4 linked regions of the Arabidopsis thaliana genome follow. The protein of the gene in region 2 interacts with the protein of the main gene of each other region in a pairwise test. Each region holds a gene or a part of one and is shown on either strand. Other genes may lie near its edges. The genes, in order: TRX1, BUD2, TH9 and NIA2.

What was found.
Region 1: the proteins of BUD2 (region 2) and TRX1 interact in binary tests that used the Arabidopsis thaliana proteins (3 or more experiments, as listed by UniProt).
Region 3: the proteins of BUD2 (region 2) and TH9 interact in binary tests that used the Arabidopsis thaliana proteins (3 or more experiments, as listed by UniProt).
Region 4: the proteins of BUD2 (region 2) and NIA2 interact in binary tests that used the Arabidopsis thaliana proteins (3 or more experiments, as listed by UniProt).

What each region holds. Positions count from the first base shown.
Region 1 is NC_003074.8:18,950,381-18,954,076, forward strand, and holds TRX1 (thioredoxin H-type 1), read right to left. Parts: upstream 1,730-3,696; 5' UTR 1,576-1,729; coding exon 1,486-1,575; intron 1,082-1,485; coding exon 959-1,081; intron 875-958; coding exon 743-874; 3' UTR 538-742; downstream 1-537. Other genes in the region: RTH (RTE1-homolog), read right to left, coding at 1,901-2,329, 2,414-2,680; AT3G51050 (FG-GAP repeat-containing protein), read left to right, coding at 3,643-3,696. UniProt on the Arabidopsis thaliana protein: Thiol-disulfide oxidoreductase involved in the redox regulation of a number of cytosolic enzymes. Activates the cytosolic malate dehydrogenase (MDH) probably by reducing an interchain disulfide bond of the inactive MDH homodimer.
Region 2 is NC_003076.8:6,311,179-6,315,145, forward strand, and holds BUD2 (Adenosylmethionine decarboxylase family protein), read right to left. Parts: upstream 2,195-3,967; 5' UTR 2,038-2,194; coding exon 994-2,037; 3' UTR 547-993; downstream 1-546. Other genes in the region: AT5G18933 (uncharacterized protein), read left to right, coding at 2,209-2,269, 2,458-2,518, 2,949-2,984, 3,094-3,166. UniProt on the Arabidopsis thaliana protein: Essential for biosynthesis of the polyamines spermidine and spermine. Essential for polyamine homeostasis, and normal plant embryogenesis, growth and development.
Region 3 is NC_003074.8:2,643,218-2,647,162, reverse strand, and holds TH9 (thioredoxin H-type 9), read right to left. Parts: upstream 2,086-3,945; 5' UTR 1,754-2,085; exon of another isoform or gene 1,637-1,753; 5' UTR 1,574-1,636; coding exon 1,553-1,573; intron 1,442-1,552; coding exon 1,322-1,441; intron 1,229-1,321; coding exon 1,106-1,228; intron 1,018-1,105; coding exon 859-1,017; 3' UTR 559-858; downstream 1-558. Other genes in the region: UBC12 (ubiquitin-conjugating enzyme 12), read right to left, coding at 2,618-2,761, 2,876-2,980, 3,072-3,202, 3,612-3,681. UniProt on the Arabidopsis thaliana protein: Probable thiol-disulfide oxidoreductase that may play a role in intercellular communication due to its ability to move from cell to cell.
Region 4 is NC_003070.9:14,156,582-14,162,462, reverse strand, and holds NIA2 (nitrate reductase 2), read right to left. Parts: upstream 4,012-5,881; 5' UTR 3,847-4,011; coding exon 2,802-3,846; intron 2,616-2,801; coding exon 2,475-2,615; intron 2,379-2,474; coding exon 811-2,378; 3' UTR 525-810; downstream 1-524. UniProt on the Arabidopsis thaliana protein: Nitrate reductase is a key enzyme involved in the first step of nitrate assimilation in plants, fungi and bacteria.

The sequences.
Region 1 (3,696 bases), on a different chromosome or scaffold from region 2:
CTCAGTGTTTCTTTTTGGTGTTTTTTGTATGAATCCGATGGTATTCATTGATGCTAGGGTTCTTAATTATAAAAACCATAACATAATGGAATGTTTCAAAGCTTTGCATTATTTTTGTGTTAAGGTGCATTATTTACCAGATATCTATGGATAAACAATTGCTTCGGTAGCATCTTTCAAAATGATTTCGTGGAGGGATTTCTCTCTTTTCTTAGACGAAATGATTTTTTTTTTATCAGATTGAGTTTCCATTAAACGTTCTGATAATATTTCTTAGTAGCAAATGGATTTTGTTTTTAATAGCTTATTATTTGTGTAAATCCTTTTGCAATTTAATACTACATAGAAAGAAACAGAATCCTTCATTTGTACATATTTGCCATCCGTATCGAAACATTGCCAATGATCAATTCCTAGCTTCACTTGTCCAATATTCGAACCGTTTTCAGAACACAAATGACCTTCTGAATAAGCATCACCTTTAAGAAAATGCTCTCTCTTTATTCACGTCCATTGCATAATATTTTTTTTTTTTTTGAGGACATAATGTAGAAATTAGTTTTCAAATATACTTTGAAGTCACAAAGTAATTGATTTACTGGATAAGCAAAGCAATTTTCAGCTTCAAATAGTCAGATGAGATTATAGACCGGAACCATAACAAAGGGGAACAAGTTATAACATGTCAAGAGTAATAGAACAATTAATCCAACATCTTAAGAGATATATAAGAGTGGAAAGCTTAAGCCAAGTGTTTGGCAATGGTAGACTGAAGCTCATCTTTCTTGGCTCCAACAACTTTGTCCAAAATCTTCCCTTCCTTCAAAAACATGAAGGTTGGCATCGCCTGTATCGCCCAATCACTTGCCACCGACTGTTCCAACAAAACCATAAAAGAGATTGTGATCGAAGAAAACAATATCTCTCAAGAAGAAGGGAAAAATGTTGGTGAATGTACCTTCAATTCATCAGTATCAACCTTGAGGAAAAGCACGTTAGGAAGTTTCTTAGCCAAATCAGCAAAGAATGGAGCGATGAAACGACATGGTCCACACCAAGAAGCCGTGAAATCAACCACCACCTTCAACAATATAACCAATCATGAATCATTTTCATTGAAAAACCATTTACACTAAAAACATATCATATCGTAAGAATTGTGAACATTACATCTATCTTCAGCGTAAACATTTTTCTAGGGATCCCTTAGTTTCATAGAATTATCAACATGACTCGTAATATAAGTCATTATGATCTCCTACCAATCCTAGGATCTAATCTATGGTAATGCAGATCCAAGAATTGTCATAAAATTCAAACATGAATTCATACAAAAAAGAATCATATCATTACATTGCTTAAGTATGAGAGATCAAAGACTCTATTTAAAAACGCAACCCAAAACAAACCAAATCAAGAATAATAACAAATCCATATCTCATCAAAAACAAAATGAAATCAAGAAATTTGGGAGAAGAAGATTACAAGAGTTTTGGATTCATTAGCCTTCTGAAGCTGCTCGTTCCATGTCTCAACGGTGTGGCAGGCGATCACTTGTCCTTCTTCCGAAGCCATCTTCTCTCTTTTTCTTCTCTGTTCTGTTTCTTCTCCTCTTGTGTTTTTTTTTTTTCAATTACTTAGCATGCGCGTCACCTACCAATCCCAATTTTGCCCGTCAATAGTTTTTCTCTTCTACTTTATTCGACGCGTGATTTTGTTTCCCATAATTACACCCACCAATTGCTACTTTCCTTCTTTACCCAAATCATAAATATTCACACTTTTACTCCTCAAAGTTTTACTTGTAACAAATTAACCACACACAAAGCAAAGTTGTAAATATCCATCGTAAAAAGTAAAAAACATTTTGTAGACATCATTTGTACATTATGATTCAAATCTACAGCTGAATCAGTTTCTTGAAACAATACGTTCCAATGATGAACCACCCGGTAAGCAAAACCACTAGAATCGAGCAGGAGGCAATGAAAGTCCAACCACCGAGTAAGATTCCTATAGTGTAGACTATGAGTGGAGGCAACAAGGACTTTACTATAGCCGTTTTGTTCACCCAACGTCCCTTGAAAAGCACTAGTGTCGCGAGATTCACCACGTTCCATCCGCCTGACTTTATAGATAGACGGTTCAGGTTGTTGGCTACAAAGGAATGACAGTTGCATGTGAGTATGTTATATGAGTGATGTTGGTACTCTTGCGTGCTTTTTCTCAGTGCATCATCCCATGTTGGCTCTTTCTCATGACTATCTTCTTCTTGCTCATATCTCCTCTCACCATTGAACATACCAGAACTGGAAGAACGAGATGACTCCTGATTCAAATCCAAGGCCAATATGAATAAATTGTTACTTTGTATCAAGGTTGAAAATGAAAGCCGGCATCTTGCAAACGTTACCATTTCTTTGTTGATTTGAATATATCGAGAAACAGCTCCAAATGCAAAATTATCAACACAGACAAAATTAGGTCCTGCAAAGTCGAGGATGACACCGTCTTCTCTGCAGATACCGACGTGGCCGATGAAGGGAACCAGCCATGAAATGAAGGGAAGAGGTGTCCAAACAATGCAGCATGGAAACCGGTCTCTTTTGGGATCAATTTTCATAGGATCCGATAATCCGATCATCATGCGATGTTCTGAATCTGTTGCTGTCTCTCCCATATCCAAATCCAGTTGAGCTCAATTATTTGATTCTCTGTAAGCAAAAAACAACACGTCCAGTGATCCCCATGTAAGTAAGATTCAATAAAGCACTTGGATTTGATATGTAAAAGTTGTTCTTAATACTCGAATAGCTGATGCATATCATTTACATCGAACCCAAAACATAAATGCATATCATCCCATCATGGAAGTCCGAGTTGGGACTGAGCCTTCCAGAAGCGATAAGCAGCTCCTTCTAGCCCTGTGCTGCTTTGGATTTTTGCATATACCAAGCTACTACCAATTCATTGATTACTGGATAAACTTGAAACAAGAGTCGTCTAATTGATATTCAATCAACACATTGTGCTAAAACACTACGACCACTACATAGAAAAGCTAAGTAAACAATTCTCGTAGTTCTACGAATCGCGAGTCTTAAACACTAAACGATGAATCCATACGAACATGGCGAACGAGGGATCCAGAAAACGCCATTAAAGATACATAATCCAACTAGCAACGAGTCAACATCAAAGCATCTTCATAGACATTGATTCCGAAACTTTTTCATAAAGAATAGATCAAAGCATACATACCAGTTCAAGCGACCAGGAAGACGATTAATCGGATCTAATACAATCTTCAATCACTGCCTTTTTCCTGGGAAATTTTTGTTTCTCTCTCGGCCCCAATTTTACGAACGATGACACTAAAGAACGTGTTTGGCTCCTTGTTTAAACTAATCCTCTCTCGGATATCTTCACCGTTTCAAGGATAGTAGTATAAACGACATAACGTTCGGTCAAAGAGAACAAAAACGTCAGGATGTTATTCTATTAAACGTCTGATATATCTATACGGCGTAGTTTTGAAGTTGTCGACTATTCTTCATCGTTCTCTCTGCTCTGGTAAGGAGATTGCTGCTACCTACTGATGCAAATCTGCCATTGATACATCTGCTTGCGGTTAGGGCAAAGATGAGGAAACGCGATTTGGCTATTTTGATGCTCTCTGGATTTGCTATATTCTTC
Region 2 (3,967 bases):
CGATTATTAAAAGTAAATCACATATTAATACTTTTAATTGGTCAGCCACAAAAAGTGTAACCTTACTTTTTTTGCCTTATGAGTTTTAGATTCATTGGATTTTAATTTTTTTAGTATGTAGTAATAGATTTTAAAATTTATTCATTCTTTGACTTCTTATGGTTAAATGTCAAACACACACATGGAGAAAAAAAAGCATTTGCCTAAAAAAAGAGCATGAGCCGCCAAGTCCTTAATATTATCCAAGTTTTTAGGGTCACAGTTTCAAGTTATGCATAATTTTAAAATTTTATTTCATTCTTGATTGTTCTATGCTTGATCTTGTTCAGTGTAGTAGTAGTAGTAGTAGATGTGATGGAGACTAGCAACAAAATGATACGACACTAAATACTACAAATGTGTAAAGGTAAAAGATGATGGAAGGTTTGCTAACTATAATTTTAACGGATTTTAAACTTGAAATACAAGTGTCGTCGACCGGCAATATTATTGTGGTGCTAATTCTGACTTGAGATATGTTTGGTAACGACAAAACATATCGAACAGTAGCTAAGGATCTTTTGAAATTGTTTTACAATATTTTTCACATCATAATTAGTTTACTTTTAAGGTGAATGAATTTGTAACCATATAAAGTAAGAACGATTAAAACCGTATATCAACAGTCTGATATATAGATTTAAGATAATTTAAATCGAAAATATAAAAAACAAACATAAGAAGAAATAAAAGAAAGACAAAAAAAAAACAGACCAAACCATTTTTACCATCCCCCACTAAAATTCTACAACACTGAACCTCAAAAATGCTTAGGCGTGACATTGCCACAAGTGCAAAGTGGGGTGCATGATCATATGTTCCCACTTAATATCCTCCTTAAACCCAAGTCAACCAATCATTTCCCTCCACGTCATTACCTGTTTCTTTTTTCTCCTTTAAGCTAATTGAAACCTAATTAAAACATTTTCTCCTTTTTTACTCCTCCGGCGAAGCCTATTTCCGACGAGGCGTGAAGGACTGATAAACGACGGTTCCGGAGCCTGGAAACTCATCCATAAGACGGCTCCGACACTTAAGATCAAGCTTCTTAGCTAACACACGCTCCACGCGCTTAGTCACCTCGTGGTTGTAATCTTCGCCGCCGTAAGTGGTGGCGATCGAGACGTCACTTGGACGGAAAACATCAATGGCCCGGCTTAACACCTCAGAGATATCTTCGTGACCGTTGTCGTAGAGAGACAAACCACACTCGAAGCTCGCGTAGCTAAAACCGTCTTCAGGCGTTACGTGGATAGTTGAGTAACGGTCACCGTCGACGCCGTTCATCGAGTAACCGCAAGGATCAAACGCGAAATCGCATATATAAGCGTTTGCGTTTATGTTATCGATACCACTGAGCCGCGTCATCTCTTTCCCGGCGGAATCGCTGTTGTTTTTCTCGTCACCTTTCCGTTTAAAGAAGCTTCGAGCGTTGACTCGGTCCAGCTCCGTCATACATACTTCGACTACGACGACATGTTCGTCGGATTCCACGTCAGCGCTTGCGGTGAACACGTGCCAAGCACGTGATGGGTTATTAGAAGGCGTCATAACAGAGGCTTTGCGGTAACAGAGAGATTTTGGGAGGCTTTCTTCGACGACGATGACTTCGTCTTTGAAGCTTGTGTAAGGGAAAGGCTGAGCTTTAGGGAAGATGAAGCTGCCACGCGAGTAGCGACACGCGCGTAACGTGAGGCCGAGGTTACGTGCGAGATGGATCAACGGTCGGATTGATTTGAGGAGTTGCGTGGTTCCACATGTTTTGATGATGATTTTGGTTGGGTATACAAAGAGGCTTGACTCTGAGAGAACGTAAGCGTCGAAGCTACGATTCGCTACGGCGGAGACCACTGTGCACTGCACTTCGTTTAAGACTTGGTCTAAAGATTCGAAGTCTATTAGACGGAGTCCCATAGGGTTTTTGGTGATTGGTTTGTCATCGTCGAAGAACCGAAGTTCGAGTCTTTTCTCGAAACCCTCGAACCCAGACACTGCCATTGCAAAGATCAGAAGAAGATGTTATGAAACAGAACAGAGGAAGTTGCAAGAAGAACACGGCAAAGGAAATGTGTTTGTGTGTGAGTAGAGAGAGAAGAGAGAGGTAGTGGTGATTAGTGGGAGAGAAGTGGTATTTATAGGAGAGGGTTTGGAGGATAGAGAAGAAGGAGCATGCGGGTTAAGAGACCAAGAATCATGATTGTAGGCATAATGAACGAGAAAGATGATGAGAGTTTGTGTTTTGTTTTGTATGTATGCGTGTATGTATCTGTGTATGTGAGAGATCTAGTTAGTGTGCGTCTGATTCTGTTCTGTATTCTTGTGTTGTTCTGTAATGAGAAGGAGTTTCATGGGTGGTTAAGCGCATGCAAATTTGGATGTTTTTTTCTATTACTTTTTATAATCAAATCTTTCTTGCAGGTGATATGTTAGTTCGATTTGATAATATCGCAGAAATGCAAAATCATGAACAACAAAAAATGTAGGATTGACGCCTTAATAATAAAACATGGTTTAACTCCTTTGACTATTATTTATTTTAAGAACTATGAAATTGTGCAAAGTATTTATTTCGGATCATTCTACTTACTGAATTAAGATATGTTTTTTTCATAAGATTTTCTTTTAAATCTTAAACTCAAAATAGCTAATTTTGAAGAATATTGTTTACATAAATTATATAAAACGGTTCGGTACGAACTTTTCGTTCCAAATTGTCTCACCATAATATGGATTAGTTAATGTGAATTTTGGATTCCATATAATTATGTTATCAGTAAAATTATATACATATAATAATCTCAAAGACATTAGTCATTCCAAATGTTAGCCATAAAATGTCTCGCTTCAAAAGCTACCAATCATATTCCTAAAAGACTGGTGACACTAATTGATGGCATTACCTTTTTTAGTGGTGTTTATGCCATCCAAAAATTTCAAGGGGAGGGGTATTTTTCCTTATATATTGTAGTAGTTGGTTTTGAAGCTGATAAAGCATATAATTAAGATAATTGGTTTAATAGTTATGTGAAATGTATATCTTTTGACTATCTTTAGGCTCTCGTACAAAAACTATCGCAGGATCGACACTAGAAGTGGAAAGGCTTGTTTAGGCTATGCTATCAACTAGGACTTCAGGATATATTATTCCATGGAGTTTATTTAAAATGTAAAACATTAACTAAAAGCTTGTGTACAAGAACAAACAAATTGACAGATACGAAATTCTTGAAGAAAGAATTTCAAAGAGTTAAATCTACTTTCACAAGTAGAAGAAACGATTTGGTTGATCGAATGAACTTGTCAATATATATCTCAATGTAATACCATATTCTTTGTTATTCCATGGATGCCAATATTTGTGTTACAAAGCTTATAATGGAAGGTTCAAAAATGTTTTGGCACACGAAATACAACACATAAACAAATAGTACCGATAGACCTTAACTTACCGATTAATTAAGCAAAAAAAAAAAAAAAAAAACTGAAAAAAGAAACCGTGTTTACAATTCGGTTACGAGGCTCTCGTACATTGGTTCCAATCACCCGTTATGTATCACTCATCATGCCAAAACAAAGTACACATGACACATCTTTACGTAGCCCATATTAAATAATATATCTGATTAGCCACACACACACATACTATATCGTGGACAAGACACAAAAGATCTTGAAAGGGCAATGGAACAAGTGTCTGCAAGAATCATCAATTTTAGTGGCTTGTGTGTCAAACAATCGCTAATGCACATAAAACTTTAAATTATTTTCTTCGTATATATGCACGTATATGTTAATATCTAATTTCATTTTCAAAAGACATAATTAGACGCAGCATTTTTTCTCTACTTGTTCTCTTTTTGTCTACTTGTTGGTGACCATAACTTGTATCTTGTAAAAATGGGTTTTGTTTTTGTTCATCGGCTTTCTC
Region 3 (3,945 bases), on a different chromosome or scaffold from region 2:
GAAGGAATTGTTTTGATTGAGAACAAATTGTAAATTATTGAACCAGAGCAGCTAATATTGACCGTTGACCCATTCGTTTTATTATTCGAGTTTCACTCTGAGTAAAGTTCAAGTCATAGTCAAAGTCAAAGTGGTTCTTCTGAATCTTTAATTGTGAAGACTTGAATAAACGCCAAACTTACCTAAATATCATTTCTTCTTGGCAGCTTATCCATTGCCGAAAGCTCTCTCTAGATGTTAGGATCGATACACTCACTCGCGGTTTTGTTTTGAAGAAGAATTATTTGTAATATTTTAGCATCCACTCAGACTAATTACAGAATAATAAAAAACTAACTATAACAAGAAGACTAACTTAACGATGGCAAATGTATGTTTTACTTTTGGTCTATATTTTAGCATCAAGTCATGGTAATGTTAAGGTTCTATCTGGTTTAGGAACGGTCCAAGCCCTATCCCTAGCCATAAGGCCACTTCAGGCTCCTCACCCCGATCTCTGCTTGAGAGATTTGTGAAAGTATACAAAGGAGAAATCAATGGTGGCAACGAAATTCAAAATGTCATCAAGAAACAAAGGCATTGGATGATTGTTTCCTCATTAGTGAAAGAATGATAATAAAGAAGAAATGAAATTAGAGAGAGCCTTATTGCTTTGCACACTTAGATTGCGAGGATTCAATAATATAATGAGTAATTTGAATGAAAAAGATGCATATTATTATATCAAACAGGATGATCTAACTCAAGTGTTTTTGGTGACCTTTCACACCTTTTTTTTTGCATATTACAACAATTGATCACCGTCAAGAAGAAGACACAAGAACAGACCTCAGAACACAAGGCTGCGAGAGTCAAGAGTCAAGGCCGTTGAGGACTTTCAGGCACAGAATCAATGATAGAAGTAACCTTCTTCTGTAGCTCCGGTTTGTTTGCTCCAACAAGCTTGCCTATTTGTTGTCCATTCTTTAGGAAGAAGAAGGTTGGTGTCGCCTTAATGTCCCATGATGAGCTAAAATCCTGCACAAAGTCACACAAACATATTTTAAGATTTTGAAAGAGAGACAAGGGAAACTATGTATGGGTATACAGAGTATGAGTTACTTACGCTGAGTTCATCAACATCTACAAGAAGGAACATAAGAGAAGAATGTTTCTCTGAGAGCTCGATGAAAAATGGTGCCACAATTTTACACGGACCACACCATGTCGCACTGAAGTTTGCAACCACCTGTTTCAAGAGAAGAGAAGATATTAGCATGAGATTGAGAAACAAACACAACACTACATGAGAGAAGAGAAATATCAAAAAGGGAAAAATTACGATTTTGCCATCACGATCAGCTTCAGCTAATTTGTCATCCCAACTCTCTTTTGTTGTAATCAGATGAACATTGCCACCGGAAAACTCGACGTTATGGACGGAATCATCGTCTCCTTTACCCTATGTAGCAAAACAAGAAGGGATTTTTTTACATTATCATCGCATAACCAACAAATACAGAATCCGACAAAAACCAAAAACCAAACAAAAGGGTTTCGTTTCTTTCAATACCTTAGAGACGCAGCTACCCATTTGAATGTCCTGGAAATTCGAATTTGCCTGAAAATAGAAAATCGATTTTTTTTTTGCAATTCCCTGGAGAAAAAAGGGGGAAACTTTCAGCTAATCGAATTGCGAAAAGGATTAATAACGAACAAACGAAAATTGAGAAGAAGAAACGGATTAAGAGAATCTGAAAAGGCAAAAACGGACCTTTAAGAGAGATCGGATACGATCAGACGCTTAAAAGCATCATAAAAAATATGTGTTGAAAATTTTAGAGCGAAGAAGGAAGAAGAGAATTTGTGTTGTACCTAAAAAGAATTGTGTTTGTGTTCTTCTGGTGATGTTAGGGATTGTCGAGAGAAGAAATGAAAGAAAACGCCGTCGTCGTGTTTGAGGGAAGAGACCAAATTAGAAGAATCGTTGATTGGAGAAGAAGCTCCCTCCCATTATGACCGCGTCAGACCCAATTTCCCCTTCTTACTAAATTTACCACTCTACCCTCCTCCTCTCTGTCCATTCCACTTTTTTTTTGTTTTTTTTCTCACTCTTTATTAGCTATCAATTCGTGTAAATAATAAAAAATCTGTTTTGTTTATTATTAACCGTACTTTCAACAGATTCTTTAGATTTGCGGTACTTTTTTTTTTCTGTCGGCAACTCAAATTCTGCAGTACCATTGTTTATTAAAGAATTGACTTTATTATATACGGTTGAAGACTTTGCCATAGTGTTTAGTTGATGCTCAAAAAAAAAATACTAAAGAGGATTAAAGATTATTGATTTAGGTAAAGACTTAAAACGATTCTATAGTTTAAAAAAGAAAAAAATTTACGAGGTTGTTGCAATAGCAGTTTCCAATTAAAATGGAATTGGAAAAATAAGAATATGATCAGAGCACTGAAGACAAGTAAAAAAGAGCAGCTAAAAAAGTCTTTCGATTATGATCGTCACATCATAGCAGCCATTGCTAAAACTAACCAAAAAACAGAAAAGGTAAATGTTTTTTCTTCAGTTTTCTATTTCCATTGCCAAGTAAGACATCCTTTCCTTGTCTAGACCACCTTTGTCTTATCATCCCATCGCGTACTTCTGTGTCCATTTTTGTGCAGTTGACTCGTATTTTGATTTATCTACCTTGTAGAGATGAGCTATCTCCGGCACAAGAGGATCATTTGGGTTCGGGTCAGTCAGCAGCGAGCAAATCGACAACAAAACCTATATAATTCCACACCATCAATATCACTCGCACAAAGTTCACCAATATACTAGTTTTTTTTTTACAGAACATGACTTTGGTAAAAAATAGTAGTAGAGAGACAAAACTCAAACCTTGGATGTGGTAGGAGCAGGACTCCATTGCTCTTTCAATATGTCAAGGCAAATGCTTCCTTTGCTGTCGATGTTTGGGTGGTACACCTTAGTCTTGAAATTCACCTGCAAAATCGTACACTCGCTAATAAGCCTGATGATCATAGATTTTCATTACACATCAGATGATTAAATTAGTGTTGAAAAAACACAACACCTTTGGTGGCTTGAAAGGATAATCCGAAGAGAAATCAATAGAAACCGTAAATACGCCTCCGGAATACGGACTGTCATGCGGTCCCATGATAGTTGCTTGCCAATGGAATATGTCCTCCTCAGCCACAGGACCTATAAGAAAGACGTTGCAATCAGACCCATTTATTCATCGAAAAAGACAATAAAACCTGCATGATCAAGTGATACTTCTTATAGAACAGAGACAAATTGGCAGAATAAATAAGAAGTACAAAAGGAGACACTTGAAATAAAAGCAAGCTAAACCTCTGGATATTCTTAATCGTACCAGGCAAAGGTTTAACGAGTTTTCTCGAATACAAAAAAAAAAAAAAAAAAGGTTCATGCAGAGTACATATATATAACAGAACCAAAGAGAGTCTAACAAATCATAGCGTTACCAAAAAAAACTCAGAAACATATAATGTGGATTGATGAAATAAAAGTGTGACATATATCAAACCCTAAAAGTGTTTTTAGTGTGAATCTATCAGTCAAAATCAGCCAAGAAAAGGGAGATTACCTGCGCTACAGTTTGCTGGAGGATGTCTCTGCATATCCCTCAGTTCCCTTGAAATCCTCTTAGAAGCCATGCTTTTAGACTCGAAAACCTGCGGACGAGATAAGCAACACACAATGAGTATTAAGGAATTCAACTAAGAACATAACATATCATAGAGGAAGACGAATAAAACAATACATACGTAACGTAAGTGATGATAAACCCTAAGAAGTAGTTGAAACAGAAAACATAAAGGAAAGATGGATCAAAAGAAACATACCACAACAGGAGATTGAATCTTTTTTTCAAGGCCACTACAAAAGAGAGAAGAGATTCGTGAAAAGCCTAAAACCCT
Region 4 (5,881 bases), on a different chromosome or scaffold from region 2:
TATGAATCGTTGATATATGATTTTATTTAGATATATATATATATATATATCGTAACATTTTCTATCGGTTTAATAGCACACTATTTTTATATAGATATGATGTTCCTTTTGGATAACTTAGAACATAACTTGTGATGCTGTATTAAAATTCTAATCCTGTAATGGAGAAGAGTTTGGATGCTAGAAACATACTTTATAAACATGTACAATTTTAATAAGAACAAATTGAATATTAACTGAAAACTCTAAAGATTCTCAAACGATTGATATATTGTTAAACTAATCACCCAAAAAGGAAGAGTCTTCTAAATTACAAGTTAATAAAACAAATGAAAAAAGTAAATTCACTCCCCCTAATCTTAAATCATATATGTGGTGAAGATTAATATAGGAACTAATGGACGAGTTTGGTTTCAACTTGCACAACAGGAAACTACTTCGCTTTGGCTTTATTCTCTTTGAAAATGATTATTGGTGTCTAATAGCTGTAGAATTTTTATTTTATTTTTTAACGACAAAGACATATGAAAAAATGAACATATTCAAATTGATATTCATAATGTGAAGTAAACGCAGAAAATTCAATGTACGATAACCTAACCACAAAAATTTCTGAAATTACTTTTTGTATATTATTGTGAAAAAAAATATCGATCGTGAATACAACGAACACATTATATTTCCAAATCCAAGACTTTAAAGAACCAACATTATATACAAACAAATCCCTCAATACTTATTTAGAATCTATCATAACACTAGGCTTTTTGACGACTTAACGTTTTGACTTTGAAATATCTTGGCTTTAGACTAGAATATCAAGAAATCCTCCTTGATGTTATATTGCATCTTCTCCAAATTCGGCTGAACCGCAAACTGAATCATCGGTGGTGGTCCGCAAGCCATGGCAAGGGCTGAGCCATCTAATCCATCAGGGATATGTTCTCGCATAATCGCCTCGGAAATAAACCCGGTACTGTATGCCCAACCTTCCTTAGCTGATTCCACTACGTACCAAACCTTTAACCGGTCCGGGTATTGCTCTGCCCAACCATCCAGTTCCTCCCTTAGGAGAATATCTTCCTCGGTCCGGTTAGCATAAATGACGTACATTTCAGTCTCATCCTCTGGATCCTTGAGAATGGCTTGGATAATTTGGTAAACCGGAGTTATTCCGGTTCCACCTGCCAACATTGCCAATTTATCAGCAAACTTTGGTTTACCGTGAACCGTGAAACTACCCTTGCCGAGATACTCAACGTGACCCAATGGTCCTTTAATCTCCAAAGTTGACCCTATAGGCAAAGAGTCTAGGTACTGAGACATGAGCCCGCCGTTAGGGAATCTTGGGTGGACACCGCCAAAGTAAATCTTGACCACGAGCTCGAAGTAGCCAACCACATCAACGGTGCTGCTTGGTGTGTAAGCTCTGAGGCAGAGCTTGTCATTGATGGTGGCGCAAAGGAAAATGTGCTTACCAACCGGTAAGCCTAGAACCATATCCTCAACCGGTAAAGCAAACCGGAATTTACGAACATCATGAGAAATGGAAGTCTTTTCGACGAGTTGAACCGGGACTTTAGCCCGGGGATTAACCAAAGCGAGGTTCCTAACCGGAGTCGCCTCTCCAATGGGAGCCAACAGCGAGAACACGGCGGATGAACCGTGAACCGAGTTGTTAGGCGAGGAAGAGTCAGAGGAATAACCAGTGGTGATGAGCTCACCGATACGGTAATCCTCAAGCATCTTCTTGGCTTTATCCGAGTGAATGGCTTCAAACTCCTCCGTACAATCCGTACCAGCATTGATCAAGATTGAATCCGAACCACCCGGGTGATCCATAAGGAATCGTGTACAATCATAGATATGTCCATGGACAATGATCCAGCAAGAGTCAGCCGAATTATGCTTCTTGACCTCGGACATCGAGTACATCTTCGCAGTTGTGTTCATAAACGGCGTCGAGACAGACTTCTTTAGACTAGGAGGCGCGTCAGCCGATTTTTCGAGGTGACGTTCCTTCGCCATCCATCCACCAGATTCATTACCAGGAAGCGTTGGATGCTCGAACACAATCCCAATCTCTCCCTTGTGTGGCTTGCACACGTTAGTCTTCACTCTAAACCAGCAGTTATTCATCATCCCCATGAGATTCCATATCATTTTCTCGGGCTGCGTGTTGAGAGTCTCGTCCCATGCACGAACAGCAATCTCTTTGGCACTAAGCAAGTCCAAAACCTCAACCTCAAGTGACCAAAAACACCAACACCAGAACTTCCCATACTTGTTTGGCTTCTCTTGATGGTCAAGTGCACATACGTTCCATGTCTCTCCACCATCTACCGTGACCTCCACACGGGTCACTTTTTTTCCACCTCCTGTTTTTTTTTGTATAAAGATTATTGTTACTATTAAATTAAATCATCCTATGAAATAACGTATTTATTAAATTAAAATGTTAAAAGGACAAGTACCGGAATATGCGTAACCCTTTAAAGTATAAGGTCTTTGGGTTGTGAAAGCGTTGATGGGAAGAATCTCCTCGTGACATGGCGTCGTAATCACGGAGTTTATGTTTAGCTCGTTGATTATGTACTCTGGCTTATACCACCAACCTAAAACAAAACCATTGAATTTGAATTTATGTAAGTCACAGAAGCTGACATCATCCACCAACATTAGTTTTTCATTTTTTAATATGATTTCTGTTTTTGTTTTTCTCCTATAGGTTCGGAGACTTTTTAAACATATCAATTAGTTCATCTTAATGAGATTTATTGAAGCAAAAAGATTTTATGTACCTTCTTCGTCGGCGAGTTCGGCGTCTACCAAAGAAGGTAAAACTCTGTTGTCCTTGAAATGGTAGAAATTGTCGGATTCTTTAGTTGTGACAATGATTCGTTTCAACCATTTAACCATCCGGCCACCAATGAAACCGGGGATGATGATCCGAACCGGAAAACCGTGGTCTGGTGTTAGATACTCTCCGTTTTGCATATAAGCCAAAATGATGTCTCTTGATGGATCCATGGCATATTCCTTCTTGATGCTCGTTCCGTATTTGGAACCAGCAGTTCCGGCACCGCCCGGAAGATCCTCCGACCCTTCGAAGCAGACGTTGAGAGCGCCGCCTTTTCGGCTAAAGATCCCGCAGCGACGCAGTACGTCGCAGAGAGGGACACCACGCCACACGGAGGTGGAAACTCCGGCGGATCCCCAGTTGAATCCCTTTGACTTCTTCACCATGTTCTGTTCCTTACGGCGGTTCCCCGCGCAGACTAGCGTCGCGGCGAACTCGCGGTAAGCAAACTCGGAGACGAGCTGGTCCATGGTGAATTTCATGGGCCGTTTGACGAATCCGGTCACCTCGACCGTCCATTCGGCCCATTGGGCTTTAGGGACGTGGCCGTGGTTACGAACGTAGTGCAACGGGACAGGGGTGATAAACCCGTGGTGCATTAAACGGTTAAGAGGCGCCTCGGAGTTGAAGGGATGTTTCCCTGTGAGACGTACCATGGAAGGGTTACGCTCGATCCAGCTATCAGCCGTGTATTCGTCCCTCGGGTCCAAAACGGACGGTTCAAGCTCGGCGTTGGATTTTCTTATCATCTCCTTGTAGTACACGGCGTTGCTGTTGTGTGTCTCGTTCTCGTCTTCGCTCGACACGTCTTCGTCATCGTCATGAACCTTGGCTGGTTTCAAGAACACGGTTTGGTTGGTGGTTTGGTTCTGGTGCGCCTTAGGGGAATCGGACCGGCCTGGAACGGGAGGTTTGTAAGAACGAACCACGCCGTTCAAACCTGGCTCGAGACGAGCGTATTGGCGATTATCTACAGAGGCCGCCATGTTGGAAAGTGTATAATCGTAAATAATGTAGAAAGCAGAGCCTTTTTCTCTCTCTATCTCTCTCTTGTGAGTGAGATGAGATCTGAGGACGAAAATGCATCGTTGGTGGAGATGAAGTTATATAGGAGAGAGCCTAGTGGTATGCTTTTAGGAAGTATCGTGCCGAATCACACGTATGGGACCATTTGTGACTTTTTAATTTTTTTCTTACACACTTACTATTAATTTTTTCTTATGACTTGACTTAATTAAATAAACCATCCATTTGTTTGACAAAAATAAACGATCATAGTTATTCAATAAGCTTAAAATGATCATTTTTGTCCCTATTTGTTATAAAACAAATGTGAATTGTTGGAGTAGTTTTGTAAATACTTTTAACGTCTCGGAAACATGTATAGATTTTTTTTTGTCAACTAAGAAATGATGACAATTGAATAATATATTATTATCTATCATTGGTTATTTCCTGTAATACAATATAAAAATGTGATCAAAACATTTTCCTTTTTATTTTAGTCGAATTTGTTTTACTAAAAAATATGTTTTCTTATTCGTGACACAAAGCCGTATTTATTTTTAATGGAAAAATAACGATAAAAGATGACAAAATAATTAAGAGCAATAAAATTAGTAATACAAAAATCGTGGTGATAATATTTTCATACTATTAATTTTAATAGTTTTTGTGATCGGTAACTATTAAAACCGTATATATATATATATATATATATATATATATATATATATATATATATATTTTGTAAACCGTATATTTTTTACCAGTAAATTAAAGAATTATCAATGTGTTAACATAGGAAGAACGTTCCTTTTATTATTGAGATTTGATAATCCTTTTACCCCTGGTTCTAGTTTAGAAGTTTATCAATGTTCTTATATCCTTCAGTTAAACATAGGAACAACGTTCCTTTTATTCTTGAGATTTGATAAATCAATTAAACATATTATCAGAAAAAATCTAATAATCATACAATATTTATTTTCTTATTAAACGTTATTTTCAGTAATATTTTCTTATTAAACTGTTTTTTAGTAATATTTTTTTTTGATAAAATTAACAGATGTGATTTTCAGCAATATTGATGAGATATTAATTATTGAGTAATCTAATTTTTTGTATACATTATTATAACCTAAAATAGTTCCTTGAATCATCTAAAAGTTTAAAATACCTATGTATGAATGTTGGAAAATGAAAAAAAAAAAAAAACTGAATGATGGAAAATGATCACGTTCATCTTTTTCCTTAAAATAACTACAAAATTATTTCTCTTTTTGATCAAGATGCAACATTACAGCCACCTATATATTAGTATTACTGTTATTATTGTTTTTCTTCGGAAAGAATGGCGGTGACTAATCAAAACCGACGGAGCCACGGGTTCAGCAGATTCAGTGGGTAAATCTTTCTTTATTTAAGACTTTTTTTTGTTGAAAATTTCATTGAGTAAATATTGAATATTGATTTTCTTGTGAACTTCTAATTTTGGGTAACCAATATACATCTTTATTTTTTTTATATATATATATATATATATACTTCTTCTGTTATAATATATAAGATATTTCACTAAAAAGACAAAGTTTAAGATATTAATTAATATTTTTACATTAAAAAACATATTTTGATATTTAATTAAAGAGAGTTTGCTAATGAATTTTTTACTGCAGAATAAAAATTTATCTTTTGAGATGTGAGATGAAGATTAAATCTGTGAAAGAAAAAAAAGTAAAAAAGACAGTTTAAGTTTAAATCATATGGTACTATTTATATTATGTTTAAGTTTTATACTTTAAAAAGGAACATGAAAATTTAGTTGATTTCAAGTTTCCACTTTATTTTTTTTTATGCTAACCTTTCATGTTAAAGTGTCAAACAATGAAAACTAAATTTGTTGCGAAGACTATTACTATCCATACAACAATTTCTATTTCATAGCACAATTTCTTAAATAAGACTACTTGCATATAGCAGTTTCAATATATATGATTTTTATATACCTAACTTTACAAA